Oryctolagus cuniculus: one gene and its partners. The protein of the gene in region 1 binds, or shares a complex with, the protein of each later gene. Links are inferred from orthologs where the notes say so. Each region holds a gene or a part of one and is shown in the gene's direction. Other genes may lie near its edges. The genes, in order: UBE2I, E3 SUMO-protein ligase RanBP2, IPO13, XPO1, UBA2 and RWDD3.

Region 1 (5,148 bases):
AAGGGCGCGCGGGAAGGGGGCGTGTGCGTGCGTGGCCCGGAGCGGGGCCGAGACGCCAGGTGTCGCCGGTGGGCCCGGTGGAGCAGAGGAGGAGGCGCACCTGGCGCCTGTAACAGCCTCGCGTTCCGCGTGTTCGAGCCCTGCCGGGCCTGCGCGCGTCCCTCCCCTGCTGCTCCCCTCCCCGTACGAGCGGGATCCCGGCTCCAGGCGCACCGCACGGCTGGATTCGCCCCCGGTTCCCCCGCGCAGCCAAGCATCCGGCTGCCCACCTGCTGTGCAGGTGCGAGGTCCCGCGGGGGAGCCGCGCGAGGGCCACCCGGGCAGGTAAAGGCGCCGCAGTCCTGTAGGTGCGGAGGCAGACGGACCCCTGCCCCCGGGGCGTTCCGAGAGCGCCCGCCCGGCCGCCCAGGGGCCGGGGAGGAGCCCCCGCAGGCGACTTTGGGCGGGCAGCGCTCGCGGGCAGAGGCCGGAGGCGGGAGCGGCGCAGGTGCGCGAGGCCCTGTCTGGAGACGGAAGTGAGGCAGCCGAGGCCCAGGCGGGAGCGCGCGGCAGGTGCGTCCCGCATCCGGGCGGGGCGCGGCTCTGGGGCAGGGACAGCGCTGCCCGCGGTCACCAGGCGGTGGGCAGCGAAGGGCGTCCAAGGGCGGCCACGGGGAGGAGGGCCCGGCCTCCGCTCCCCCCGGGACACAGCCTCTCTGCGCGCTCCTCCCTGGGCGGGAGTGCGAGGCGGGGTGGGCCCGCGGTCGCCGGCTGTCCTGGGACGCACACTCCCCCCCCCCCCGAGGGTGGGCCCAGACCCCGGCTCCGCCCCCGGCACGGGGTCGGGACGCACCTGTTCTCGGGAGTTCTGGGTTTTGCTCAGGTGTGGATTTCTGACCAGCCCCCCAGCCCGGATTTGTGGGTGATCTGTGGAGGGCTGCCCCCCAAGGCGGGGCCGGGGCCCTCACCCCCCCCCCCCAGCCTCAGTGTGTCCTTTGAACCTGGCCCATCTGAGGTGGGTTCCCTGCCCCAGGTGTCCCCGTGTGGAGGACCGCGGATCCGGGACCCCTGAGCTGACCCCCTCCCACCTGCAGACCTGGGCCCCCCAGCTCCCCCTCCCCACAGACCTGGGCCCTACCCCCCCCACCTGCAGACCTAGGCCCTGCCCCCCACCCCTGCCCATTGGGACCCCAGGGCCGCGGTCCAGCGGCTTCTCCACGGCCACACAGCCCAGCGCAGACCGCGGGGAAGCTGGGACCGGGACCTAGGGGCGCGGGGAATGAGGGGCGTCTCTGCCCCCTCGGGGGTCTCCGCCGCTGCCGCCAGGCCTGTCAGCCACGTTCCGTGTCCCGGCAAACCAGAGCTGCGAAGGCTGCGGACGGCGGAGCCTGGAGGAGGGCGTGAATGAGTGCCTTCCAGGCCCTCTGCGGCCGACCCCATCGCCTGGCCCCGGGCGCCCACCGCGCCGACGGCTCGGACGGCGCCCTAGCCCCAGGGGCGACCCCGCCGTGCCCGCGCGGGACGGCGCGGACCCGCGAACCGCGCGCTCGCGCTCGTGGGACGAGACCGCGCGCGGGAATCCCGGCGCGCCCCTCCCCCAGGCGGGACGGCCCCGGGCTAGGGAGCGTCGGCGCTTCTCCTCCCGTCGGTCTGGCGAGCGTCCGGCCTTCCGTACGGCGTCAGCTGATTGGGCGGATCTGGACGATGCCCCGCCCAGGCCCCTGCATTGGCCAATTGCAGGGGGTTTCACAGGACGCCAGACTCAGGGGATTGTCGCCGTCCTGCGCCGTTTCGGGCATCCGTAGGCCTCAGTGGTCTTTGCCCCCCGGCCCCGGGCCCCGGCCCCAAGGAGACCTCCGGAACCTACGCGCTGAGACGCGCCCGCCGGGCATCCGGGGAGCCCTTGAGGAACGCGGCGCGCCCCTTCCCCGGCTGCTCGCCGGCGTATCCTCGAGTGCGCCCGCCCGCCCCGAAGGAGAGTTTGCAGACGCTCCCTCACTTCGAGGACGCGGCTCCTTTAAGAGCACAGGTGTCCAGGGCGCCGCCTGACTGGAAAGTCGCCCCCGGGCCGGGCTCCCCGACGGGACGCGGGACGCGGGCGCGCGGCGGCGGGGCGCGGGCGGCGAGGAGCGCGCGGGGCCGCGGGCGGCGCGCGGCGCGGCGCGGCGGCGGCGGCGCGCGGCGCAGGCGTGCGGCGGGCAGCCCCGGGCCAGGCCCCGCCCCGCCGCCCCGCCCGCGCCGGGGTCCTCGGCGCTCGGGGCTGCGCGCGGAGCGGGCTCCGGAGGGAAGTCCCGAGACAAAGGGAAGCGCCGCCGCCGCCGCTCGGCCCCCGCTCGTCCGTGACGCTCGCCGGGCCGCGGCCGCCCGAGGTGAGCGGGGCCGGGCGGGGGGCCTCGCGGGCTCGGGCCGGGCCGTCGGCGGCCCGCGCGGGGCGCGAGGCGGGCGCCGCGGCCTTCCGGGCGGCGCGCGGCCTCGGGGTCACGGCGGCCGCCCGGGCCGCGCCTTCCTCGGGCCGCGGGGCTCGCGGGGCCGCCCGGGAGGGCGCCGGGAGCGGCCGGTTGCGGACCAGCGGGCGCGCGGGGGGCTCCGCCGCCGCCGAGGGAAGTTTTCCTGCGCGGCCGAGAGCGCCCCGCTCGCCACGGGCGGCGGGCGGCTCCGTGCCGGCCAAGGTGAGGCCGTGGCCGCGGCCCCCAGCCCCCTGCCCCGCCGCGGGGGTCGCGCGTCTTCGGGGCCCGGAGCGCGCCCGGCCCTCCGTCCGCCTCCCGGGGCCTGTGTGGGCCGCCTGCCCCGCGCGGCGCCCCGGCCCTCTCCCGCAAGGCCGCTGGCCAAGCCCGCCGCTGTGCCTTTGTCTGGCGGGGCGCGGGGGTCCCGGGACGGGGGTCGGGCGCAGCCGAGGGAGGCGTGGGGTGCATGCCCCAGAGGGCCCGTCCGCGGGTGCGGGAGGGCCGAGAAGGGCCACGGAGGCGGCCGGTGCGGGCCGCGGCAGCCCACCTGTCCAGCGCGGCTGCGTGCTGAGACTGAGGCCGGGCGCCCGGCGCCGAGCAGGTGCGCACCTGTGGCTCGGCCCGGACGGGCAGCGCCGCCCGCCGCGGGGGTCTCTGTGGGCGGAGCTCTTTCGGGCCCAGCACGGGCAGGGGTGCAGTTCTGATGCGCTGGCTCGGGAGGGCGGGTTGCAGCGGGGAGGGTGTGAGAGGCGCACAGGAGCCTTGGGGACCGACGTCGGGCTCCCCGCGGCCCCCAGGCCCCTGCCGGCCCCTGCCCCGTGCTGTGCTGCCTGCTTCCGGGGACCCCAGGGCGCCCGGGGCTGGCTCGCGCGCTGCCCGTGCAGGTGGAGGCTGTGGTGAGCCACAGGCAGGTGTGCTGGGACCGGGCCGCCACGCCTGTTCCCGGAAGGGGCCCGGGCTGGGGCGCCAGGTGCGGGAAGGCGTGGCAGCCTGGCGGCGGCTTCGCCTCTTTAAAGGTTTATTTATTGTCAAGGCAGAGTTAGAGGTCGCGCAGCCGCTGGTTGGCTCGCCCAGACGGCCCCGTCGGCTGGGGCTGGGCCGTGTGGAAGCCGGGAGCCTCTTCTGGTCTCCCACGCGGGTGCAGGGGCCCAAGGCCCTGGGCGTCCCCCCGCAGGGAGCCGGCTGGGAAGTGGAGCAGCCGTGGGCTCAGCCTGCAGCCGTGCGCGGTGTGCGACGGCCGGAGGCGCCGGCACTCAGGAGCCCGAGGACCGTGGTCCTCGTCCGATCGTCTGTGGAGGTCTGGCTCTCCTGGGCTCTCGCCTGCTGGGTTCTGGGATGCCGCCCGCCCCGGGCAGAGCCTCCCCCTCTAACCAGTGCCAGGTGAGCCGTGGAGTGGCTCTGTAGCCAGGGACTTGGAGGGCGACACCCGTGGGTTCCGAGGACGGGGCAGACAGCAGCTGGTGGAGTCCAGGCGCGGCGGCCTGGGCCCTGGGCTGTGGTCCTGGACCTTGAGGGCCGCTGTGGCCGGCCCTGGTCAGGGCGCTGGCCCTCGGGTCCGGGGCGCAGGCGCCCTGCGTGGGGGAGGCCAGGCTGGGGCAGCGGCGCTGGGCTGCCCCCCTCAGCAGCGCCGTGCGCCCGCGGCCTGAGGTGTGGGGCCCTCCCAGCCTGGCGTGACTCGGGCTCGTGGGAGTGGGGCCCTCACGGCGCCCGTGTCCCCAGGACTGGAACATGTCGGGCATCGCCCTCAGCAGACTTGCCCAGGAGAGGAAGGCCTGGAGGAAGGACCACCCGTTTGTAAGCAGAGCCCGCGGGCGGGGGCGGGGGCGGGCGGGGCGGGGCGGCCTGAGCGCCCGGGGACTCCCCTGCTTGTCCACGCAGGGCTTCGTGGCTGTCCCAACCAAGAACCCCGACGGCACGATGAACCTCATGAACTGGGAGTGCGCCATCCCCGGCAAGAAGGGGGTAAGCGGCCGGGGCGGGGGGCGGCGGCAGGACCCCGCGCTGGTGGCTGGTGGCTGCTCCGAGAGGGAGCTTTATGTCTCGCGGTCCCTGACCTGGCAGTGGCCTCAGCTCCAAAGCCCCACCCCTGGCTGGAGAGACTGGCAGGGCCATGCGGGGGGCGGGGGCCGTCTGCCTGCCAGGGTCTGCGTTGGCAGGAGGCTGGGACTCGAACCCAGTTCCCCACGCGGGATGGGGGTTGACCACGTGGCCCAGCTCTCCTCGCCCCTCCCGATGCGTCACGGTGGCCTCCTGGTCGGGAGCCGCCGGCCCCAGGGTTTACTCTGCAGCGTGGGCTCAGCCTGGCGTGGCTGCCTCCTCCCTCGGACAGGACTGGACTCTGCCCCGGGGGCTGGTGGAGCCATGGCGGACCTCAGGGAGAGGGCTGCTGGCCGCGCTCGTGCCCGAGCCCCGGGTCCCCTGCAGCCCGGTGCAGCCCTGCCCGGCCCCTCCGAGGCCCCGCCGGGCGCCCGTGGCCCCTGACCTGGTCTGTCCCCGCAGACGCCGTGGGAGGGCGGCCTCTTCAAGCTGCGGATGCTTTTCAAAGACGACTACCCGTCCTCGCCCCCGAAATGTGAGTCGCCCGGGGCCCGCCGGCCGCCTGCGCCCACACCCGCACGTGGGGGTCCCTGCCCTGGTGGGAGGGGTGGTCTGCTTGACCTGCAGCTCTGTGGCTGTGGGGGAAGGGGCTGGGAGACCCGGGTTCTTAGTGGTTGTCGACGAGGTC
Region 2 (4,350 bases), on another chromosome or scaffold:
CTTTTTGTGTGGATAACTAGGTTTTATTTTTCTTATGTTGTTGATCTTAGTTATGATTAAAGCTGACCTGAAGAGAGCAGTTTATGTGAAAAGTTCTCATGTTTTAATGTCTTTTGTTTTTTTTTTTTTTTTCCTTGAGAGATGGGTAACATTTGAACAGAAGCATAAGAAATTGTTAGTGAATCAAGACAAACACATTTGAAAGAAAGGAACTGTGTATTAGCATGTTAACAAGTCATAACTATTTTTTCTGATAGTTTGAAAATCTTTAGTTATAGAACAGTGGGTTTTAACCCGTATCACATTTATACTTGCAGAAATTTATTTTGTTGTTCCTAGTTGGAATTGACTCAATAAAATCGGCAAAACTGAACCCACAAAAGTAAATATAAATAACCTTTACATTTTTTGAACAAGATTATTGTTTTAGGAAAATTGTCCTCTTTTTTTTTTAGCCTGGATCAGTGGTTGATGTTTCTCTTCAGGAACAGGGACTTCTTGAAACTTTTTGTTTACAATATAGGAAGCAATTTTTAAAATGCAAATGAATACTGTTTAAAAGAAAACTATTTAATAATAAATTTGCTCCCTCCTGCTTCAACCAAATCAGATGAATTTGTTGTGCCTGGATATTTACCAGTGAGCACATTATGATGTTAACGTCATTACAAAGAAAATGTCTTAAAGAATTTGAATATTTGAAACTTGTTATATGCAACAGCTTATAGGTAATTGCTTCTGCTAATCCAGGTAGAAGTAAAATCTGGAGAAGAAGATGAAGAAGTTGTGTTTAAAGAGAGAGCCAAACTTTACAGATGGGATCGTGATGCCAGCCAGTGGAAGGAGCGTGGTGTAGGAGACATAAAGATCCTTTGGCATAGGATGAAGAACTATTATCGGATCCTAATGAGGAGAGACCAGGTCTTCAAAGTGTGTGCAAACCATGTTATTACCAAAACAATGGAATTAAAACCCTTAAATGTTTCAAATAATGCTTTAGTTTGGACTGCTTCAGATTATGCTGGTGAGTTTCTATTTGGGAATGCTACTTTTCATTTTTGGTCTTTCCTGAACCCATAACAAACATGTTATTCAGTTGGTAGTGATTATTTTAATCTTAAAGGTATTCTCCATTTTTATCCCAATAGATGGAGAAGCAAAAGTGGAACAGCTTGCAGTGAGATTTAAAACAAAAGAAATGGCTGATTGTTTTAAGAAAAAGTTTGAAGAATGTCAACAGAATTTATTGCAACTCCAGAAAGGGCATGTTTCACTGGCAGAATTGTCAAGAGAGACCAACCCTGTGGTGTTTTTTGACATTTGTGCCGATGATGAACCTTTAGGGCGTATAACCATGGAGTTATTTTCAAACATCGTTCCTCAGACTGCTGAGAACTTCAGAGCACTGTGTACTGGAGAGAAGGGCTTTGGTTTCAAGAACTCCATTTTTCACAGAGTAATTCCAGATTGTCTTTGCCAAGTAAGTATGATTGTCCATCAGAATTGAAATCTAGAGAAGAGTGTGTGCTGCATAAACTCAGGAAGTTGAGTGTTCCTTCCTGATCTTATGCTGTAGTGTGAAAATTTCTGTAGATTGCCCACACATTAATTGGTTTTATCACCCTAATTCCTAGCTCTGCCAAAAAGTTTCAACCTAAATGGGTCTGAATTTTCTGTTAACTGGGGTGTAAGAGGGTGGGGAAGTGATGGACGTTTTAATTTCTTAATTGTCTTTCAAAAATACATATTTCTTAGTTTTCAAAGAGCTTTTTTGGGGGAGGGAGTGCAAAGATTTATTTCCTTGTTTAAAAGACAAAGTGAGAGAGACCTTCCATCTGTTGGTTCACTCCCCAGATGCCCAGAACAGTAGAGTTGGTCAATGCATGGGTGTCAGGGCTCAGATACTTGGGCCATCTTCTGCTTTCCCAGGTGCTGTAGCAGGAAGCTGGTTTGGAAATAGAGCTGCCTGGACTTGAACCAGCACTCCAATATGGGGTGCTGGGATTACAGGTGGCAGTTTAACCTACTGAGTCACAATGCTGGCCCCTTAAGTTGCATTCTTCAGGAAGCTGGTTGTTTAGGACTTAGCCTGCAGTGATGAATTCTGTGTGTAATTCAGTGTTTGACTGAGAATTCCTAGTAATTAAATTTTTCTTTCAGGGGGGAGATATCACCAAACATGATGGAACAGGAGGAAAGTCTATATATGGAGATAAATTTGAAGATGAAAATTTTGATGTGAAACACACTGGTCCTGGCTTGCTGTCAATGGCCAATAGGGGCCCAAATACCAATAATTCTCAATTTTTTATAACACTGGGAAAAGCAGAACATTTGGACTTCAAGCATGTAGTATTTGGGTTTGTTAAGGATGGCATGGATACTGTGAAAAAGATTGAGTCATTTGGTTCTCCTAAAGGGTCTGTTAGTCGAAGAATTAGCATCACAGAATGTGGACAGATATAAAATCATTGGGTTTTTTGTAGTAAATTTTATCTGTATAAGCAGTTGAATCAAAGCTTAGCTGTTACAATATGGTAATTATGTTCAGCTTTTGAAAATGGACGTTTCCAATGTATAAATGTACAATTGCAGCTCATAGCTGTTGTCACTTTTTAATGTGTTATAATTGACCTTGCATGGTGTGAAATAAAAGTTTAAACACTGGTGTATTTCAGGTGTACTTGTGTTTATGTACTCCTGATATATCTGTAATAAAATGGAATAGTAATAATAATCTTGTTAAAAGCAATATACCTTCACAGACTATTGAAGGGATTAAATATATGCAATTTAATTTTAATTCCTTTAAATATATGTGGACTTCCAGCATGGAAATACTTAACATTTGAGTAAGGGACCACAACTTGGATAATTTTATTTTGGATCTGAAATATATTTGGTAACCTTAACTGTTGGTGTGCTCATTTATGCATAGAGACTCATTTATGAATGGGTAGTGCCACAGAAGGTAGAGTTAACCAAAGTGCTCTTCTGTAATCTTACACCTCTTGTATAGTTTACAAATGAACTTTTAAGTAGAGTACCTTCTTTGCCTAAAATATATAGCTTCTGTGCCCTTTCAAAGGTGTTAAATTAATTTTTTACATTTTAAGCAAATTGACTATTTCCTTTTTTAAAAAAAGAAAACAAACTTTTTTGTCATCTGTCTCTACTACCTCAGCAATTTCAACTTGGTCCTGATGATAGAAATTGAATTTTTCCTTGCAGTTATTGTGATAAAGTATGAATATTTTTAAAGGTCTATACCATGTTCTTTGGTTAAAGATTTGCTTTATACTAGATTGTTGCAGTATCTTTTTCTGGTGACTTTTGTAGCAGAAATAAAGTGACAATTGACAACAGTCATGATATTTAAAAAGTTCATTACTTGTGCATCTAGTTGTCTGTTCATTCTAGTATTAGACTGAAGTACAGAGGGCAATTAAAGGTCAGTACTGTTAACTCAAGCTGCCGCGTAATTTCCAGAGCCCCCGAAGGAATACTTCCCAAGTTTGATACACTGAAATGCAGTTAAAAGTGGCTTGTGTCACAAGTTAGGCAAACTGCTTTAAAACATGTTCTTACTGGCAGACTTCACGTAGAACCACAAAGAACCCAGTCAGAGCAGAAAATTGTGTGTATTGTGATCATGAGTATTGACCGTCTTCCACCCTGTGTGCCTCTCAGTGAGACAGTTCCTTGTTCCCTGTGTGGTGACGTGGAAATGGGGCGTCATGCAGAGAATGCCATGCAGCCGATGGCAGGGATGCCACGCGTGATGTGTGTGAATAATGAATGATTGAATACCAGCACTAAATCAACTTGAAGCTGCCAGAAGTAACCCAGCCGCAACAGTTCAGGTGAATTACCTGAACCTTGAAGGGAACCGTGAACTGCATACGTGCACATTTAATACTTAGAGTCGGCTTCTTTGCAAACCTATGTAATATAAATTGATTAAAAGTGAGTTCTAACTTTTCTGCTGAGGCAGTTGATGCAATAGTCATGCTTTTAGGGTAAACTGTAAGTAAATGCAAGTGCTTTTTAGACTTTTTACACTTTGGTGGTGTCCTAAATTAGGCATTAAAGTTACAGACTTAAAGCTTTAAAAAAGTTGATAAAATAACATATAAATTAACCTTTCCAGTATTAGTATTCCAAAGCTGCTAAAAGTGGCTAGAAGCGTTTGTAAGGAAGTCTTCTGTGTCACATTTCAGGAAAGGACTTTGATTCCCGGTTACTTAACTGCTGAAGTGGTACACTAAACACATGATAGATATTCTTAAGGCTAGATTGATTTTTATATTGTCTCATTAAGGCCTGCTTAAAGATAGAATAAAATGTTTA
Region 3 (5,148 bases), on another chromosome or scaffold:
TGCAAGGCGGGGCTTTAACCTGCTGCACCACAGCACTGGCCCCGGGATATTTCACACCTTAGGCACAGGCCTGGGAATCAGCCACTTTATTTTGACTTCCTTTTTCCTCTTCCAAATGTCTCCAGCCACTTCATTCCTCCATATTGCACACAGATTTTTAAAAAAAGGCAAATGCTATCCACTGGGAACCTCACCATAGTGTCATATTACACTTAAGGTAAAGTCCAAACTCTTATAATAGTCCATTGTCCCCAACTTGTCTTCCAACCTCATCTCTACAACCCATCTTCTCTCCCTTCCCCACGTCATAGAACACCCCAAAAATGGTTGGAGGACTTGCTGTAGAACCCCAAAATTGGGTCTGCTCATTTGGCATACAGCAAGTTAATCAGCAACACCAGGGTGATGGAGAAAAGCAAGTGTTTATTGCAACATGCAGACCAAGGAGCCAGGTAGCTAGCACTTAATTCCTGGACTCTCCGAGATGAAAGGCAGTGAATCCTCTAGTTCAATGTTAGGTTTCCAAGTGCATGATCGGCTCCTGTGTGGGCCTGCAGTTGGTCAGTGATAGGGGCAGCAGGTTTCCTTTGGGATGGCAAAGGTGGGCTCCAGTCTGTCTGGGTCTAAGTGTGGTTTGGGTATTACTTTGTTGGATCAGGGGACTGTGCATTCCTGCAAAGCTCTCAGAGTAGAGGCAAACATTGAGAGCTCTGGCTTTACCCTGTATCACTCCCTTAACTTAATGAGTTGACGTGTACCAAGGAGCAGCCAAGGAAAAGATATGGGGCCCAATGAAGCCTACATGGTCTAGGGGTAGGGGTTCAGCATCACCCACTCCTAAAATCTCCCCTTATATGGAACATAGGTTACCAGCTGTTCTTATTTATTTATTTGAAAGGCAGAGTTAGAGAGAGAGAGAGAGAGCTCCCAACCTCTGGTTCACTCCCCAAATGGACACAACAGCCAGGCCTGGGCCAGGCTGAAGCCAGGAGCTTCATCCCGGTCCCATGTGAGTACTTGGGCCATCTTCTGCTGCTTTCCCAGGCAGCAGGGAGCTGGACTGGGTAAGTGGAGCGTCCAGGCCTGGAACCGGCGCCCAAACGGGATGCCAGCCTCACAGGCAGCACCGGCCCCTTTTCAGCACTTTCTTATTGAAGATGTGCTGAATGACTGGAGTTCCACTGTACTTTTGCTTAGCATCTAAGTGAGGCTCCCTTTCCTCAGGCCTTCATCAACTTTCTCAGCCATCACCACCTCTTCCATTGGAACTCAAGTACAGTAGGCCTTTTGCTATATTTATTTGTTTGAAAGGCAGAGAGAGGTCTTCCATTAGCTGGTTCACTCCCCAAATGGCATCTGGTTCTCCCACGCTGGTGAGGGGCCCAAGCACTCGGGCCATCTTCTACTGCTTTCCCAGGCCACAGCAGAGAGCTGGATCGGAAGTGGAGCAGCCAGGACTCGAACCAGTGCTCATATGGGATGTCGGCACAGCAGGCAGATGCTTAACCTACTAAGCTACAGCGCCCGCCCCAGCCCTTCTGCTTTTTCCTCCCATCCCTGCGGGGGTGGCTGCCAGGAGTTCACTGGAGGACAGCTGGGGGAGTGAGAGGCAGGGACTGCCGGGCCAGGCTCTGCCACCACAGCTGTGTGTCCAGGGGCAAGATAAGCTCAACTTCCCCAACCTAACGGAACCCAAGGCATGCAAAGCACTGCTCCTGGGTTTAAACGGGAGCTAGTCTTATTCAAAGCACACATCGGGGGAAGTTGCTTCCAAAAACCTCAGGAAATTCCTCGAGTACTGTCCATGGTATGTGGTATTGGGTGTTCCTGAGCCGTCCTTTTATATTCCTCCGGCGTGTAGCCCCGCTTTTCTCTGGGGGGTGCTTACGCCTTCTCAGGCCCCAACCCATGTGCCCCCGGCCTCCTCCGCGAGGTGCCGCCTTCCGGCTGGGCTCAGCACGAACTACATTTCCCAGGGTGCGTAGCGGCGGGGCCTCGGCTCCGTGGGGGCCTCGGGCGGCGCGCCGTACCACGCCGTCGCCTGCTCGGGGGCGCGCGGGCTGGCGCGAGGACAGGGCCAAGGACCCGGAATGAGTTTCCGCGCAGTTCCGCTGGGCCGTGCCGGGCAGTGCCGGGTCGTGCCGGGCCAGAACAGACAGGGGTGGGGGCCTGAGTTGGCGGTGCCGGCGACAGGCGCTCGGGGCAGCCCACGCCTTGCTGAGGTCCCCGCCCCGTCCCAGCCGGGCCGGCTCATCTGTCAGTCACTGGGGCGGAGGCAGCGGCAGTAGCCGTGGTAGCGGGGCCGGAGCGGGGCGGTGAGCAGAGCGCGGGCCAGGCCGAATGGAGAGGACCTGCCACAGCCTCCCAACTCCACGGACTCTTCGCCCCTGACTCGCGAAGCTACACCCTCGCGCTTCGTTGGACGCCTCTGTAACCCGCGAAGGGCTCTCTTTCCCCCGTGCCCCCCAGCCCGGTGACCTCCTCACGGCGCCAAAGGGCTCGCACAGACGAGGGTGTTGTGGGTACAGGCCGTCGACCCTGTGACCCCGCACGGGCTCGGCACTCGGTTTTCCCCACAGGCCTCCCTCCTCACAGATTCTGGGGACAGAACCTTGACCTACCACTAGGACCCCGGCCTGAGTGCCCCTCACTTACGGCTCCCTCCTCAGGGTCACCGTCCCTGGGTTTCCTCCCAAGAGTCCCCCTTTTGGGTCCCTGGCAAGCCCCCCACCCCGAAGGAGGTGGGGAGGCCTCGGCAGCCATGCCCGCCCTGGGTCCCCCGTCACCCCGCAGCTCCCTGGACACACAAGCCGGGGTCTAGCAGGGGGCCAGCAGCCAAGGGGCTGGGGCAGGAGACAGATCAGGGTCCACCTCCCTGCTGGGGAGGGAGCCAAGATGGAGCGGCGGGAGGAGCAGCCGGGAGCTGCAGGGGCTGGAGCAGCACCAGCCTTGGACTTCACTGTGGAGAACGTGGAGAAGGTACGAGGGCTTTGGGGTGGGTACTCGAGTGACAGAGCAGAAGTTCTGGGGACTGACACTGAGGCCGGAGCTCAGGCCTGGGCCGGGTGCCTGCTGGGATGGTGCCCCTGGAGCACCTGGCGCTTGCGTGTCTCCGGCCAGCAGGACAGCAGTGTTGCAGTGCCCTCGTGGGCTATTTTTGGCTTTCCTTAGACCTGGGTCCTCTGTGGACAGATACGGGGTTTGGGGATGTACCCCCTCGGTGCTGGTGGCTCAGACTTCAGCCAGACTGGCTCTTCTCCAGCTCTGTGGGAAATGCATGAGCGGTGCAGTAAGAAACCAAGGAGACCTGCAGCTTGGTCCCTGGAAACCACACTGATGCTGAGTTATCCTACACCTGTGTCGAGTCAGGGGCTCAGAAGATAATCTGGAGCCCAAACAGCCTGGGTTACGTTCTCACTTTTCTTGGGTGCAGGGTCTTTTCTTTACCGCACAGGTGCTGGGCCTGGGCAGGCAGCAGTGGGGCGTACCCCTCTTTGTTTTGTGCTGTGTCAAGGGGCCTGGCCCTGCTGGGAACCTTACAAGGCCCTCCATTACTCACCTGTTCACATCACGCCCTGCCCTAGCCCTCCCTGGCTGGCCCCTGCCCAGTCCCTGTTTTCTGAGCTGCTTCTCTGATTGTCTTCAGCATTGGGCTCCCAGAAGCCTGGAATGCAAGAATGCATGGCCCCTGGGGTGAACAGGGACATGGGCTACCTTGCCGGAAAGCAGGGGATGGTCGCAAAGGTTCACTTGTTACTCTTGAGCCCTGTTTGCCATAACAAGCAGTGAGGATGGCTTCCCTTCCGCCTCTGCATCCCTGAGGGACCGAACAAGGGACAGTAGCCAGAGCTGGCTGTCAGGGGGTACAAATGGGGTTCAGCCTACTTGGATGGAGCCAGCTTGTGGGACAGGATCCTGGCCTCACTCACCCACTCCTTGGGGCTGGGCTGTATTGGCACTGTTCTGTGTGCTACCAGGGAGATACGCCACTGTTTTCCCACTGCGTGAACTCCCACTGGAGTTGGGACCCCGGAGGTTCTGCTAGTTGAGAGCTCCGGACCAGGCATTTGCTAGGACTGCGGCTGTGGCCCAAGCGGCTCTTTACTAGACCTTATGGGACCTTTGCGTGTGCTCTCTGAGGGTGCTCTCTCCCCCTCCCCCTCTAGGCTGTCTCTGCCTGAGGGCTCCTGGCAGAAGTCTCAGTCCTCCTCAGGTTTCACACTGGCCCTGGTGCCTGCATCTGGAGTGACCTAGTGATATCCCGGGGGGATGAATGGAGCTGTAGGAGTTGACTGGAGCAGCTGTGTCTGTAAGGGTCAGGGCCCCTCAGGCTGTTTCCTGTTCTTCTCAGCTGCGCTTCATCCTTAGGGAGCCATTCCTTCCCCCTGGGCCTTGCCCTCAGGTGCCTCCCACTAGAGAGCTCCGCTCCTCTCTCTCTGCCTCCCTGTCCCGGAACCCATAGTGGTTTTACTCTTAAGAGGATAGGGTAGAGCAGGGCAAGGTTGAGGCACTCAAGATGCCAGTGGTACCTCAGGCAACTTTGCAAGAGCCTTCCTGCTGAGCCCCCCGCCCCCACCCCCCACTCCCATCAGATAGGGGGTGCCGTCTTGCAGGTCTTGCAGGACCGAGTCGCTCTGCTCTGGGCCCTGGCGGGATCCCCAGCGGCCAGCAGCTGCTCAGTCCTGTGCTGTCTTGCAGGCGCTGCACCAGCTCTACTATGACCCCAACATTGAGAACAAGAACCTGGCTCAGAAGTGGCTGATGCAGGCCCAGGTCTCCCCACAGGCCTGGCACTTCAGCTGGCAATTACTGCAGCCCGACAAGGTGCCTGAGATCCAGTACTTTGGCGCCAGCGCCCTGCACATCAAGATCTCTCGCTACTGGAGTGACATCCCCACTGACCAGTATGAAAGCCTCAAGGCACAGCTCTTCACCCAGATCACCCGCTTTGCCAGCGGCTCCAAGATTGTGCTGACTCGGCTGTGCGTGGCACTGGCCTCGCTGGCTCTCAGTATGATGCCTGACGCTTGGCCATGTGCTGTGGCGGATATGGTACGGCTCTTTCAGGCCGAGGACTCACCGGTGGATGGCCAGGGCCGCTGCCTGGCCCTGCTGGAGCTGCTGACAGTGCTGCCTGAGGAGTTCCAG
Region 4 (4,350 bases), on another chromosome or scaffold:
TTACAACAGCCAATTTAGGAGTGAACCAGTGGATGAAAGCTCTCTCTCCCTACCTCTCCTCTTTCTGTATAACTCTGACTTTCAAATAAATAAATAATATAATATAAATGATATTTAATCACAAAGTACTGAAAACATTCCCCTTAAAATTAGAAATGAGATGGAGCTAGCTATGGCATAGTGAGCTAAGCCGCCACTTGTGGCACTGGCATCCAATATGGGTGCCAGTTCATGTCCCGGCTTCTCTACTTCTCATTTAAAAAAAAAAATAATAAAGTATATATACATTTCTTCCATTTAGTAACAAATTTGTTTTATTCTTTAAGAATACAAGATTTTGCTAAATAAGCTAAAGGATTTATCATTTTTTCTCTGAATTATTGTGAGCACATTTTGGGGTTTGGGCTGTACATTAGTTCTCCCTTTATCTGTCATTTGTTTTTCCATTGTTTCAATTGCCTGCTGTCAAACATGGCTGAAAATACTAAATGCAAAATACTTTGAAACATAATAACGGGCCAGTGTTGTGGTATAGTAGGTTAACCGTTACATGGGACACTGGTGTGCCATGTTAGCCCCTGGCCTCCTGGCTACTCTGCTTCTGATCCAGCTTCCTGCAGATGTGCCTAGGAAAGCAGGAAAAGATGGCCCAAGTACTTGGGCCCCTGCCACACAGGAGTTCCAGGCTCCTGGCTTTGACTTGGCCCAGCCCTGGCTGGGGCAGTCTTTTGGAGAGTGAACCAGCAGATTTCTGTCTTGCTGTAAATCTAAATTGCACATAATTCCGAGTTATGGGTTGAAATTTGTCCCTTGTCCCACCCAAGATAAGAATCATTCTTTCATTCAGCGTATCCACATTGTATGAGGATGAGCTGCTACTTACCCTTTAATCAGATTGTAGCTATCTAGAGTTTCAAATAGTCTTTTATGGTATTAGTGCTTACAGTGCAAGAGTAACCATGCTGGCAATTTGAATATGCCAAAGAGAAGCTGTTAGTGGTTGCAATAAGATATTGAGAGAAACTGCAATCATAACTTTTTAGTGCCTTATATTATTGTTAATCTGTATGTTTTTTGTATACTTAATATGTAAACTACATACTAATTGATACTTTATCACAAGTCTGTATATGGAAATAGGTAGAATATATAGGGGCTCAGTATTATTCATGGTTTCAGGCAACCACTAGGGATTGGAACATACCTCCTTTTGGGGAAGGGAGGAGCTACTCTATGTAATGCTATTTTGTTTGGAGAGTTTTCTTTCAAGTATGTGCATTAAAGAGAACAAAACTTGAGAAAACTTGAGAGATTATTGAAGGGATAAAATAAGAGTAAATGTGTCAAAAAACCAAACTCCTAAGAAATGAAGTTTTGTTTTTTTGTTTTTGTTTTTTTTTTTTTTGACAGTAGTCCTTTTAGGTGAGAATTAGAGAGTGCTTTTGGGTTTGTTTTTAAAGAATTATTTTTTGAATGGCAGAGTTACAGTCAGAGATGGAGAGAGAAAGAGAGAATGTCTAATAGCCATCCACCTGTTCATTTCCCAGATGGACACAACAGCCTGGACTGGGACAGGTGAAACCAGGACCTGGAATTCATTCAGGTCTCCCACATAGTGGCAGGTACCCAGCATCTTCTGCTGCCCTCTGTGGTGCATTAGCTGGGAGCTGGATTAGAACTGGAGTAGCTGGGACTTGACCAGTGGGATGCCAGTATTTCAGGCAGGAACCCAACCCGCTGTGCCAAAACTGGCCTTAGTGTTTGTAGTTTTAACAGCTTGCTTTTGATTGGTACTTTAAGTGTGTTGAAATTGAAGTCACTCAAGTTCTGACTGATGACAGGTCATTAAAATCATGAAATTTTTAATGATTTTATTAGTATATAAATGTGGTGTTTATTTGTCTTCTAAATTGGAACCTGTTATTCTTTTTTTAAGCATGTGCAATGAGTTCTCACAGATATTTCAGCTGTGTCAGTTTGTGATGGTAAGTGCTCTTAATTTGTTTTTTATTTCAAAACCAAGCCCTAAGAGGCTGTGTGCCTAGCTGCTGGGTCACTCCCCAAATGCTTGCAGCAGCTGAGGTTAGGGCAAGGCCAAAACCAGGAGCTGGGAAACTCAATCTGTGTCTTCTATTTGAGTGACAAGAAACCAGTTACTTCAGCCATCACTGCCGCCTCCCAGGATGTGCCTTAATTAGAAATTTAATGTATGGAACTGAAGTGCCTGCCCTTAGTTTCATTTTCAAAAATAAGTTATAGGAAAATAATATTTACAGATGTGTTTTTATTACAGGAAAATTCTCAAAATGCTCCACTTGTACATGCAACCTTGGAAACACTGCTCAGGTTTCTGAACTGGATTCCACTGGGATATATTTTTGAGACCAAGTTAATTAGCACATTAATTTATAAGGTAGTATGAATATATTTTGTTACTGCTTACTTGTATATATCCTTTTAAGTTGTAAAGATCTTTCTGCATAGCCAGTGTTTCTGAGGTGACAGTGCACAAAAGGAATGTTTCCATAATTATAGCTAGTAATTGAAATGAGTCAAATTCTGTGATTCTGCCACTTATATCCTATAATTTCATTTAATTTAAATGACAGACTTGATTATATTTAGTCACCTTTTCTGTTTTTCATTTATTTGAGAGGCTGGGAAAGAGACAAACTGCTCCCTTCTGTTGGGTCATTTCTCAGATTGCCCTCAAGGGCCTAGACTGGACCTCAGTTTAGGCATCCCACTTACTTGAAGCATTACCTGCTACTTCCCAGAAGCTGGGGAATCTTGGGAAGAGGCAGGACCTAAACCATGATACTCTTTAAAAAAAAAAAAAAGGAATGTTTGCATCCCAACAGTTCAGCCACTTAACCAGTCACCCCTTCACTCTCAGCTACATTCTTGTGTATATAGGATATTTATACTCATATCAAGCATTTCCTTCCAGTAAATTTGTTTAAAATGGAATTAGCAGGTCAATAGACATGTCCTTTTTTAAAAGATTTATTACTTGAAAAATAGGCAGAGTTACAGAGAAAAAGAGACATATCTCTTCTGTCTATTGGTTCATCCCCCAAATGGCCCTAACTGCAGGGACTGTTTCAAGCCAAAGCCAGCAGCCCAATATTCCGTACTAGTCTTGTACTGTTTTGCCAAATGCATAAACAGCTAGATTGGAAGCAGAGCAGGCAGGACTTGAATAGATACTCATGGCCCATATATGTCTATTTCTATCCCATTAAGTCTCAAGTTTTCAATTCTGCAACTATTTCTAGGACATATATTTAATTAAATGTTACTGTAAGTGGTATAGTTATTGTTCAATTTAAGTCTTTATAGGTGTCTTATGAATAGAATGTAATAGGCTAAGGCTTTTAATGCTTACCAAACTGCCACCCACTGATAGCTTTGCCACTTATATATTTTCTCCAAATTCATAGTATTCCTTAGATGATGGAATTTCCTTAAAATAATCTCTAAAATAAGGCATATCATTCACTTACCTATTTGACTGCTAACTTGTTTCTGATTGTTAAATCTTTTCCTTTCCTTAAAATGTTTATCTTAAGCATCATGTGCTTCAGCTATTTAATTTTATGTTTCTCTTTTTTAAAAATATAGTTCCTGAATGTTCCAATGTTTCGAAATGTCTCTCTGAAGTGCCTCACCGAGATTGCTGGTGTGAGTGTAAGCCAATATGAGGAACAATTTGTAACGCTATTTACACTGACAATGATGCAGCTAAAACAGGTAATAGTCTGCTATCTTGAAAATGGAACCATTTTTGTGCCTTAGAAAATGTTGGATTCAAGTTCAGATATTTTACCTCCATGTGTTACACATCAAGTGTATTGAGATATTGTGTTTTTATTTTTTTAAGATTTATTTATTTGAAAGAGTTCGAGAGAGAGAGAGAGAGGTCTTCCATCTGATGGTTCACTCCCCAGTTGGTTGCAGTGGCTGAAGCTGTGCCGATCCAAAGCCAGGAGCTTCCTCTGGGTCTCCCACACGGGTGCAGGTCCCAAGGACTTGGGCCATCTTCTACTGCAGTCCCAGGCCATAGCAGAGAGCTAGATAGGAAATGGAGCAGCCAGGTCTCGAGCTGGCACCCATATGGGATGCCGGCGCTGCAGGCCAAGGCGCCAACTCTGAAATATTGTGTTTCTATAAAATCAGTAGTAAAACAGAAGTTTTTAATGGGAACTGAAAATTACTTGAAGTAAAGGTTTTAGGTGTGTCAAAAGAATACATTTTTTAAAATTAAGATTTGTTTCTTTGAGAAACCGAGTTATAGAGAGAGAAATCTTACATCTGCTGGTTCACTCCCCAAATGGCCACAACAGCTAT
Region 5 (4,350 bases), on another chromosome or scaffold:
ATGTTTGGAAATGTCTAACCTTACTATGTAAATGCTGTCTGTTGCTCATATCAGTTATTTTTGCACTCTTAATACATTATACTTTTCAGGACTCTGTGTGGTACTGAGAAGATCGTATGTAAGGCTAGTTGTTTTAGTGACCTTTTTTGTTTTGCTTTGTAGCCCGGACTATAATGTGGAATTTTTTCGACAATTTATATTAGTTATGAATGCTTTAGATAACAGAGGTGAGATTATTTTAATATTTTCTCAATATTTCCCCCTCCCCCACATCAAAGCTGTTTACAAATTTAGTATTTCTTAAAAATATTTCCTTTTGAGTTAGTACTTTAAAATCTAAGTGAAAGCAAGTTCAGGTTTCAAGCTTGCTGGTTGATTGCAGTTTTCTCTAGAGCTTAGCTGTCCCAGGCAGGGATTTAGCTATCATGTATTATGCTGTTGCACCAAAAGTTGTAAATGAAGGGAAAGTTAAATGCTCTAGAGAAGGTGACTGTGGAGGGTGTATGTGGATGTGTTTGTTTCAGATTTTGGGGGCACTAAAATATAGTATGGCTTTCTTATGTAGGGAGCTCAGAAATCCCAGTGCCTACGTCTTACATAAGACCAGTTGAATCACCCTGAAAATGGGGCCTGAGCATCATATTTTTTCAGAGCTGGTCAGATGATTGTAAACGGAGGTCAGGGTTGAAAAATTGCTTTTTGGAGAATGAAGTAATAGGATACTGAAGTTCAGAGTCATGGTTCTTGAAATGTCTTAGGTGTATTTGGTGCCAAAGGATACCATGCTGGATTCTGTTGGATGTACACTTTTTTTTTAACCATTTAAACTTTTCACAATATAAAGAGATGGGTCATAATCATACAGTCAGTTATTACCAGATTTGTATGTTTAGAATGTAGGGGTAAAAATATTTAAATCTTATTCCTTGCCTATTGTTACTTCTGCTTGTAAAAGTGTTTTTGTTGAGTGAGTTTATAATAATTTTGGGCCTGAAATACCAAAAGAAAAAACACAAAGAGAATGACTTAACCTGACTCATCCTTTTCTCCCTAAACTTAAATTGCCTAAATAGTTCCAAGCTGATAATCCGCTTTATTCATTTACTTCCAAGTATTACAGAAAGATGACATTTTGAAACTTAAAAAAATTACTTGTTTCCAGAGCCGCTTTTCCTTGGGAGTAAATGTATAATACAAGTTTCTATATGAGATTTTGCCAAATGGATTTCTTTTGCATGTATTACTCTGAGCATAGCCATAAGATAGTTATATATATAGAAACATTAAGAAATAGTTTGAGTGAGTGTCATCCTAATTAATTAAAAGTAACTAATTTGTTTTTTCAGAAACCCTTTTGCTGACTAGTATTTTTCTTCCAGCTGCCCGAAATCATGTTAATAGGATGTGTTTGGCAGCTGACGTCCCTCTTATTGAGAGTGGGACTGCCGGTTATCTTGGGCAAGTAACTACTATCAAAAAGGTAAAAAAAAAAAAAAAAAAAAAAGTTGTTTTCAATATTTTGGATACTTATTTGGGACCTTGGGGTTGGAAGAAGTAAACCTTGGATTTATGCAATAAGAGCAAGTGGGGTTGGTACAATTGGGACAGTCTGCAATGCTGGCATCCCATATGGGTGCTGATTCAAGACCTGGCTGCTCCACTTCTGTTCCAGTTCCCTGCTAATATTAGTGTCTGGGAAAGCAGTGGAAGATTGAATGCATGGGCCCCTGCAACCATGTGGAGACCCAGATGAAGCTCCTGATTGGCTGACCTCTGGCCGTTGTGGCCATTTGGGGAGTGAACCAGCAGATGGAAGATCACTCTGTCTCTCCCTCTTTCTAACTCTGCCTTTCAAATAAATAAAATAAATCTTAAAAAAATTTTTTTTAAAAATCCAACATGTAAGAATTTTCATGCTCATAAAACTTGGAATGCTCTGTGTACACAGACCATGGGCAAAGAGATCTTCTATGCCACTTTGTTTGCACTGGTTAGTATAATAAACTTCAAAGGTTTCTGGTAGGGATAATCATTTAGCCTGTTAAGATACTGATTAGGATGCCTATGTATTATCCATCAGAGAATGTACCTAGATTTGTAATCGACTCTGGCTCCTGATTTCCAGCTTCCTGCCAGTGCAGACCCTGGGAGGCAGCAGTGATAACTTAAGCAGTTGGGTTCCTGTCACCCACACAGGAGACCTGGAGTGAGTTCCCAGATCCTGGCTCTGCATCTGTCCCATTCCTCACTGTTGGCATTTGAGGGGTGGATCAGTGGATGGGAGCTCTCTTTCTCTGTTTATCTGTCTTTCTCTGGTTGCTCAGTAGTTACTTTCAAGTTCTCAGTAACCATGAGACAACGTGTCATGTTGTAGTTGATAATTGGCAAACCAGGCTTCTAAAGGCTACATTTTGTCTAAAAGTGATTTATAGATCTGAAGACAACTGAAAACTTTTTGAGAGTATTTGTCAAGTATTTCAAACATTATTATAAAACTAAAAATAACGGAGCAAATACCTATTTATCTATAACCTAGTTTTGTAAAATCTCAGTATTGTTAATTTGCCATTTGGATCTTTTTTCTTTTAAAAAATAAGCATAGATGGCATTTGAAAAATCCGTTTGTAGGAATGAAATTATGAAAAGGAAATTATATTGGGTTTAAAATTGGCTGGCTTTGGTGTTTTTTGCGGGGGAGGGCAGTTTATCCTTGTTGAGAACTGAGGGTCTACTTCAGTTTTAACTGTTAAATACTCATATTGCTCTTGGAAGCTTATTCAGTATCATTCCAAAGACTTGTACCTGTCAATGTGTATTGAGTGTATTTGAATAAATGGAGGCATTCAATATCTGTTGACAGATCAAGGCAGCATCTTTCTTAAACTCATATAAGGGATGACTGCTTGCCATGTGGCTGCCCCCAAGAAAGCATATTGGAAGGCCAAAGGCATGAGAAATGGAAATAAGGAGGAAGCTGAATCTCTGGCAATTTCTATTAAAGCAACATTTGTGGATTTTGTTTCTTTGCTACTACTCAAAAGGGATTGCTTTTTATGTACTTTATTTATTACTGTGATCCTGAGATACCAGAATGTAGCTAAGCAGTAAGAATTGCCAAGATGAGGACAGTTGACTTTGTTCTGTTAAGTCTGTTTATTTGAAATGCAGATTGAGAGGGTGGGGAGGGCAGAGAGAGGGAGGAAGAGCTTCCATCTGCTTGTTCACTCCCCAAATGCCCACAATAGCCAGGCTGAGGCTGGAGCCAGGGACTCCCATCTGGATCTTCCATTTTTGTGTCAGGGACCCTAGTATTTGAGGTGATACCTCTGGCTTCCAGGATGCATTAGCAGTGAGCTGAATTAAGAGACAGGCACTCCAGTGTCGGAGGTAGGAGTCCCAAACCCTGACTTGACTTGCTGTGCCATAATGCTGGCCCCCATTGATGACTCATTGGATTATTGTGAAAAATTGTCTCAAGTGTCATAAAAGTGTATCAGCAAAATGAAGAGTGTTTCTTGGCAATACCTGGTGTCAAGATTAATCTCTTAAAATCAGTAACTACTTTGAGTTCACTTAATTTTTAGGAGATTATAACGGATGTGGCTGTGAATAATATTCAACACATTTTTGACTTTGAGAAGTAATTGGTTGGAAAGCTGCTTTCTGGTATTTTTTGTTTATTGAAATGAAGGTACAGTTCTCAAATTTGACATTGAAATGCAGTGATTTTATTTGGTTTGGTGTTGGTGATCACTGGGCCAGGAATCAGAGGAGTCCTGATTTGGCCTTCGCTGTAACTATGGTTGATTCAGTTAGCTTTTGTGTTAAAGATTCTTCCTCTTTAAAATTAGAATCTTGGAGTCACCAATATTTTCAGACATCTTTGACAATATAAAACCCAGTTGGAATGTTAGATGAATGAATGTTTATAATTACCTTATAATGTTGAGAGACTGCCATCATGGAATAAATTTTTTTTTTCCCATTCCTGACTTTGTAGGGTGTGACTGAGTGTTATGAATGTCATCCTAAACCAACCCAGAGAACCTTTCCTGGCTGTACAATTCGTAACACACCTTCAGAACCTATTCACTGCATCGTTTGGGCAAAGTATTTGTTCAAGTAAGAGTGTGTATGTTTCTGGGCGTACTTTTCAGTAGTGATGATGGGAAATGAGGTTTTCATTTAAATATCTTGTATTTATGATGTTGAAATATGGTGAATGGACACATTAATTGCTTTCTTGTGATATTTCTTGGGTTAAATTAAATTCAACCAACATTCATTGTACGCCATGGGCTATTTTAGGAAACTTAGTCTGATACTGCAGTCAGGCATGTCACTTAAATG
Region 6 (4,874 bases), on another chromosome or scaffold:
CACTTTTAAGAGTAATGTTGGACTTCAAACTAAGACCAAATAACTTAGGAATATTTTAAATTAAAAATTTATTCTTAAAAAATTTATTCTTTTGTTCACTATTCTCTCAGTTAATGATGGATCTGAATGGCTGCTATTTTGGAAATAACTCAAAGGAGTTTTTTTTTGTTTGTTTGTTTTTAAACAAATTGGTCACATCAGAGATAATTATGAGTTTAAATAAACCTTCTCTTTCCAATTATGTGCACAGCAGTGCTGCTAATTACTTAGGGTCACTGAAATCCCATGGCATCCTCAAACCATTCTCTCTGCAGGCCATGTTGTCAGATTTCCTTTCTATTCTCGGAAACCCAGTATCATTTCCCTTTTCAAATCCCTCCACACCCCCCCTTTTTTTTAACCACAGTGAGAATGATGATGATGATGTAACATGGATTTGGAGTCCCCAAATCAGCCAAGTTTGTTCTTCCGGCTTCCACAGGTCAAAATCAGGAGAAACTGAGTAGCCACTTTGATTTATCGCTTGAAATACTGTTTTTGATATAAACAAAATTACGGGACCTCCCGGAGCAGGGCCAGCTGCTTTTAGGGCTGCAACATTTGAAATCGGTACTTGGGAAGAAGGAAAAAAAAAAAAAAAAAAAGGATAAGCCACGCACGCTGGAAAGCAGGAGCTCCCATCAGCTCGGGGCCACGCCTGCACACGGTGGGTTTCCAGCTCTGTAACCCTATTAGCATGGCTCAGATCCCTCCACTCAGGTGCTGGGGTCCAGGAGGCTCATCTTCACTTTAAGCTTCAAGAGCCACAGTCACACACACTCATTGTGCTTTGCACGCATTGAGTATGACAAAATCAAAAACTCAGAGAAAGCAGCCTTTACTCTCCAGGACACCTCCTCCCCGCAACCCCACCAGGGCCAAGGAGCACCGCCGGCTGAACGCACCTGAGGAATGGGGGACGTTAGGACTTGGCGCACAGCTGCCCAGGAAGTCCAGGGCTGTCCCTTTTGCACCTGTTAAGGTTCCTGAGCCGGGACCCCCTCCAGGGCTCCAGGGCTCCAGGGTCTCCCCAACGCTTAGTGCAACCCCCAGCGGACAAGGGTCCATCTCATCTGCTGCTCATTTATTTTCCCGTTTGTTTTTTCTCTCCTATCCACCAAGTTCCTCTGGACCCTTGAGTCCCCAGCCCAGCAGAACCTAGGCAGGGCATGGGTCTGGGGGGTGTGTTGCAAGCATGGAGCTGAGACTTTGCTGGGAGACCTCTCTCGGCAAAGGAGAGCCGCGAGCGAGCCAGGCGATCTTCGCAGACCCAGGTGTGGGGCTTCAGAACTCACAGAGAAAGCCCAACCCAAGGGGCTGAAGCTAGCGTCTGGAGTCCGGAGCCGAGGTCTGGGGCGGGGCTTCTGAACGTGGCCGCCCCGCCCCCGTCGCCGGCTGCGGTGGCCAGGGGCGCCCCCCCGTGGCCGCTGGGTCGCACTGCTCAGGCTCGCAACGGAACGGGAAGTGCCGAGCCGGCCGGGCTGCGCGGCCATGGCAGAGTCGATGCAGGAGGAGCTCTCGGCCTTGGCCGCGATCTTCTGCGGGCCCCACGAGTGGGAGGTGCTGAGCCGCTCAGGTGACTACCCTCGCGCGGGCGGGACGAGGCACCCTCCGGACGGGGCCTCCCTCTGCCTTCGCCTCTCCACCGCTGAGCGTGGGCCCGCAGCCGGGGGCGCGGAGAGTCAAGTCCGGAGGAGGGATGCGCACCCCGCGGGGCCTGCAGCGGCGTGGGAGCAGGCTGGAGGGGAGGCCCGTCTGCTTGTCCTGCGGGTCTCACCTGAAATGGAGGCCTCTGGATAGCCCCTGCCCGCCCTGAAGTCCAGCACTCGCAGAAGGCTATGTGTCCTTCGTAAGCACTGTGCGTTACGCTGTGGAGACGGTTTTAACTCCACTAGTATTTGTGTACACAGTAGAGGTTTGTTGAGTGACTATTTTGACCCACCTGGTGCTCCAGTCCAGCCTGGTCTGCTTTGCGTTACCAAGTAGATTGCCTTGTTCGTACTTGTCTAGTGGGCGGGAACCGGGCTGCCGGTCACAGACTTTGGGGGGCGCCTTGATCCTTAAGCCCACGTGTGTTGAATTCTACAAACCTTGACCTGCATTGCCCTTTCGTGTAAGAGCTGATGGTCCAGAAAGGTTCTTTTGACTCATTTTTTTAATAGTCTGTTCCCATGAGAAAGTACAGTGATGCAAATAGTTCTGAACTTTATTTAGCTTTCTTTTGAAATTTATTTTTAATTTTTAAAAAAGATGTATTTATTTAATTGAGAGGCAGAGTTACAGAGAGCAGGAAGGACAGAGAGAGAGCCTCCATCCACTTGTTCACTCCCCAGGTGGCCACAATGGCTAAGCCTGGAGATCAGGAGCCAGGAGCTTCCTGCGGGTCTCCCACGTGGGTGCAGGAGCCTGAGGACGTGGGCCCTCCTCCACTGCTTTCCCAGGCCATAGCAGAGAGCTGGATCAGAAGTGGAGCAGCTGGGACTCCAACCTGGCCCATATGGGATCCCCCCACTTTCAAATATACTCTGCATTTGAGTAGGCATGGTATGTATCTTCTCATGTTGAAACCGGTATTGAAATTGTCCTTGTGAGCATGAATTGACTGCGCTTTAAGAAGGCAGTGTGCAATGAGGAGAGCCCCTGTGACTGAGAGAGTTCCCCAGTGTCCCTGTGCCATTATTCACCCACAGAGCAGGAGCTAGCCCCTTGTGGCGGGTTTCTTCTTGCAGTCACCGTGCATACACGTATACCGACTACTGTTACGTCCCAGGTACTGCAACCCTAGCCCTGTTCTTTCCAGTGCCCAGCCTGGCTTAGAGTCCTTTTAAAAAATTTTTTTTTAATTTTTAAAGATTTTATTTATTTATTTGAGAGGTAGAGTTACAGACAGAGAGAGGGAGAGAGAGAGAAAGGTCTTCCATCCTGGGCTGATCCAAAGCCAGGAGCCAGGAACTTGCTCTGGGTCTCCCATGCAGGTGCAGGGGCCTAAGGACTTGGGACATCTTCTACTGCTTTCCCCTTGCACATCAGCAGGGAACTGAATCAGAAGAGAAGCAGCTAGGACTCCAGCTGGTGCCCATGTGGGATGCTGGCGCCGTCGGTGGAGGATTAGTGTACTACACCACAGCGTCCTTAGAATCCTCATGGAAGGGTTTACTGAGCGTCACCTGCCTTGTGTCTGGATAGCATTCCTAATTGCTCGGCATCCCCCTCCCTGTCTTGGACACTCTTCACATTGGTAACTGCTTCCGCCCGAGGCAGCTATTTGAAGACATCATGAGTTCTCCGAAGTTCCTTTATGATGGCTCAGTTGGGAGCATCCTGGAACCATGGGCCTGCACTTTCCCCTCACACCTTATAGAGGGTGGTGTGGTGGCGGCCTGGCTCTGGAGCACATGGACTGAGTGTGAAACTCAGCTGCTGGGTCGGAGAGACCATACCAAAAAAAAAAAAAAAAAAAAAAAAAAGCTTAGAGTAGTTTCTTAGTATTGTGAACAGTGTGGACCCTTTATCTGCTGCTAAATTGAGCGTGGATTTGAAGCCAGGCCTCGTAATTAATTTAATTCAGTGTTCTGGCATCAGTAAGTAATTGAATTATAAAAGAATTCAGTGTAACAACTTAGGGTGTCTTGTTGCTGAGCGGTTTCTCTGCAAGGTAGAGCAATTTCAGTGGTTGGAATGGGACGATTTGATGCTCGCAACTGGGAATTAAGGGTCAGGTGAGGGTTTCTCTACAGACCGCAGTGAGCGTGTGCTCACTGTCAGTGTATCTCGCAGGGTCACACTGAGTCCCACCCGTTCCTTCCTGGCCTCCCCCAGATAAGCACTGGAGTCTGGAGACCATTTAGGCGGGATGGCACTTCTGGTGACAAGAAAGTCCAGGAAGGCTCAGGCTGCTGACGCAAGGGTCCACGGTTAAGGGCGTCTGATCAAGGAGGCTGAATAATCGGAGTCTGTTGTAACTGGATTCATGAATGCAAAGAATTTGAGGGGCTTTATCTACATTTCTGTCTTTATAGAAGTAATAGTAGGCCAGCGCTGCGGCTCACTAGGCTAATCCTCCGCCTTGTGGCGCCGGCACACCGGGTTCTAGTCCCAGTCGGGGCGCTGGATTCTGTCCCGGTTGCCCCTCTTCCAGGCCAGCTCTCTGCTGTGGCCCAGGAGTGCAGTGGAGGATGGCCCAAGTGCTTGGGCCCTGCACCCCATGGGAGACCAGGAGGAAGCACCTGGCTCCTGCCATCGGATCAGCGCGGTTTGCCGGCCGCAGCACGCCGGCCGCTGCAGCCATTGGAGGGTGAACCAATGGTAAAGGAAGACCTTTCTCTCTGTCTCTCTCTCTCTCACTATCCACTCTGCCTGCCAAAAAAAAAAAAAAAAAAAGAAGTAATAGTAAACTCACAGTAAGAGGCATCTTTGGTAATCACTTCTTAGCAGTGGGGATTATGTAAGTCCTCACACTGCTGTGTGTGACTGAGGCTGCCTGTAGACCTACTCAGGGCTATTCTGTCCTACCCGGTGCAGTCTGTGCAGGTGCCAGCTTCGGTGTAGTCGCTAACCATGTACCTGGTAACTGTAAATACATCCTACTTGATGAAGCCTACTCCTGGCCCCGGTTTTCAGACCAGGTAGCTGATGCTCCAACTGGCGAATAACCAGCAGGCTTCCAGAGCACGTGGGCCTTCACATTGCATCACGTTCCTGTGTAGAAATGGGGCTGCTGCATCAGCAAAACTCTCCTTAGAGAGCAAGGCAGCCCTTGTCCAGAAAGCAAGAGCAATAACACGCGTGCAGAGAAAAGGGGTGGCTGTACCCAAACCTGTGCTCAGAACAACGCT

Evidence for each region.
Region 2: the proteins of UBE2I (region 1) and E3 SUMO-protein ligase RanBP2 are in contact, whole or in part, in a crystal structure (PDB 3UIO), measured with the Homo sapiens proteins. The link is inferred for Oryctolagus cuniculus from reciprocal best matches to the Homo sapiens genes UBE2I and RANBP2. Residues at the interface, in NP_003336.1 of Homo sapiens: Ile4, Ser7, Arg8, Gln11, Glu12, Arg13, Lys14, Ala15, Arg17, Lys18, Phe22, Gly23, Val25, Val27, Lys30, Met36, Glu42, Cys43, Ala44, Pro46, Gly47, Lys48, Lys49, Trp53, Glu54, Gly55, Gly56, Leu57, Lys59, Pro69; in NP_006258.3 of Homo sapiens: Leu2651, Lys2652, Leu2653, Pro2654, Phe2657, Phe2658, Tyr2660, Tyr2666, Val2667, Glu2669, Glu2671, Glu2672, Asp2673, Asp2674, Glu2675, Asp2676, Phe2677, Ala2680, Val2681, Leu2684, Gly2686, Lys2687, Leu2688, Tyr2689, Leu2690.
Region 3: the proteins of UBE2I (region 1) and IPO13 are in contact, whole or in part, in a crystal structure (PDB 2XWU), measured with the Homo sapiens proteins. The link is inferred for Oryctolagus cuniculus from reciprocal best matches to the Homo sapiens genes UBE2I and IPO13. Residues at the interface, in NP_003336.1 of Homo sapiens: Arg13, Lys14, Arg17, Lys18, Asp19, His20, Pro21, Phe22, Val25, Val27, Lys59, Glu99, Asp100, Lys101, Asp102, Arg104, Lys110, Gln111, Leu114, Ile125, Gln126, Pro128, Ala131, Tyr134, Thr135, Cys138, Gln139, Ser158; in NP_055467.3 of Homo sapiens: Leu33, Tyr34, Tyr35, Asp36, Pro37, Ile39, Lys42, Gln46, Glu73, Tyr76, Gln178, Thr179, Arg181, Gln231, Glu261, Val264, Asn265, Met302, Glu303, His306, Arg310, Val313, Glu317, Asn318, Thr355, Ser358, Leu359, Leu361, Thr362, Ser413.
Region 4: the proteins of UBE2I (region 1) and XPO1 are in contact, whole or in part, in a cryo-EM structure (PDB 9B62), measured with the Homo sapiens proteins. The link is inferred for Oryctolagus cuniculus from reciprocal best matches to the Homo sapiens genes UBE2I and XPO1. Residues at the interface, in NP_003336.1 of Homo sapiens: Ile125, Gln126, Tyr134, Cys138, Gln139, Asn140, Val142; in NP_003391.1 of Homo sapiens: Gln207, Gln210, Glu243, Thr244, Lys245, Tyr279, Gln282.
Region 5: the proteins of UBE2I (region 1) and UBA2 are in contact, whole or in part, in a crystal structure (PDB 4W5V), measured with the Homo sapiens proteins. The link is inferred for Oryctolagus cuniculus from reciprocal best matches to the Homo sapiens genes UBE2I and UBA2. Residues at the interface, in NP_003336.1 of Homo sapiens: Ser2, Leu6, Arg13, Lys14, Arg17, Lys18, Val27, Lys30, Asn31, Asp33, Gly34, Thr35, Met36, Asn37, Leu38, Met39, Asp66; in NP_005490.1 of Homo sapiens: Asp479, Gln481, Gly485, Lys486, Gly487, Thr488, Ile489, Leu490, Ser492, Ser493, Glu494, Glu497, Thr498, Asn501, Phe509, Asp520, Asp521, Phe522.
Region 6: the proteins of UBE2I (region 1) and RWDD3 are in contact, whole or in part, in a crystal structure (PDB 4Y1L), measured with the Homo sapiens proteins. The link is inferred for Oryctolagus cuniculus from reciprocal best matches to the Homo sapiens genes UBE2I and RWDD3. Residues at the interface, in NP_003336.1 of Homo sapiens: Leu6, Ser7, Ala10, Gln11, Arg13, Lys14, Arg17, Lys30, Gly34, Thr35, Met36, Leu38; in NP_056300.3 of Homo sapiens: Glu3, Pro4, Glu7, Ser10, Val11, Ala13, Ala14, Ile15, Cys17, Pro98, His101, Glu102, Leu105.

The regions. Positions count from the first base shown.
Region 1 is NC_091450.1:33,711,718-33,716,865, reverse strand, and holds the start of UBE2I (SUMO-conjugating enzyme UBC9), read left to right. Parts: upstream 1-1,742; 5' UTR 1,743-2,008; intron 2,009-2,191; exon of another isoform or gene 2,192-2,348; intron 2,349-2,495; exon of another isoform or gene 2,496-2,648; intron 2,649-4,142; 5' UTR 4,143-4,151; coding exon 4,152-4,217; intron 4,218-4,301; coding exon 4,302-4,385; intron 4,386-4,922; coding exon 4,923-4,995; intron 4,996-5,148. UniProt on the Homo sapiens protein: Accepts the ubiquitin-like proteins SUMO1, SUMO2, SUMO3, SUMO4 and SUMO1P1/SUMO5 from the UBLE1A-UBLE1B E1 complex and catalyzes their covalent attachment to other proteins with the help of an E3 ligase such as RANBP2, CBX4 and ZNF451.
Region 2 is NC_091433.1:100,042,189-100,046,538, reverse strand, and holds the end of E3 SUMO-protein ligase RanBP2, read left to right. Parts: intron 1-750; coding exon 751-1,024; intron 1,025-1,148; coding exon 1,149-1,480; intron 1,481-2,160; coding exon 2,161-2,466; 3' UTR 2,467-3,382; downstream 3,383-4,350. UniProt on the Homo sapiens protein: E3 SUMO-protein ligase which facilitates SUMO1 and SUMO2 conjugation by UBE2I. Involved in transport factor (Ran-GTP, karyopherin)-mediated protein import via the F-G repeat-containing domain which acts as a docking site for substrates.
Region 3 is NC_091438.1:129,108,058-129,113,205, reverse strand, and holds the start of IPO13 (importin-13), read left to right. Parts: upstream 1-2,078; 5' UTR 2,079-2,895; coding exon 2,896-2,979; intron 2,980-4,698; coding exon 4,699-5,148. UniProt on the Homo sapiens protein: Functions in nuclear protein import as nuclear transport receptor. Serves as receptor for nuclear localization signals (NLS) in cargo substrates.
Region 4 is NC_091433.1:141,245,243-141,249,592, forward strand, and holds part of XPO1 (exportin-1), read left to right. Parts: intron 1-1,936; coding exon 1,937-1,985; intron 1,986-2,293; coding exon 2,294-2,413; intron 2,414-3,624; coding exon 3,625-3,753; intron 3,754-4,350. UniProt on the Homo sapiens protein: Mediates the nuclear export of cellular proteins (cargos) bearing a leucine-rich nuclear export signal (NES) and of RNAs.
Region 5 is NC_091449.1:22,493,271-22,497,620, forward strand, and holds part of UBA2 (SUMO-activating enzyme subunit 2), read left to right. Parts: intron 1-162; coding exon 163-227; intron 228-1,379; coding exon 1,380-1,480; intron 1,481-4,000; coding exon 4,001-4,122; intron 4,123-4,350. UniProt on the Homo sapiens protein: The heterodimer acts as an E1 ligase for SUMO1, SUMO2, SUMO3, and probably SUMO4. It mediates ATP-dependent activation of SUMO proteins followed by formation of a thioester bond between a SUMO protein and a conserved active site cysteine residue on UBA2/SAE2.
Region 6 is NC_091438.1:75,461,882-75,466,755, reverse strand, and holds the start of RWDD3 (RWD domain-containing protein 3), read left to right. Parts: upstream 1-1,487; 5' UTR 1,488-1,530; coding exon of another isoform or gene 1,531-1,615; intron 1,616-2,372; 5' UTR 2,373-2,381; coding exon 2,382-2,583; intron 2,584-4,874. UniProt on the Homo sapiens protein: Enhancer of SUMO conjugation.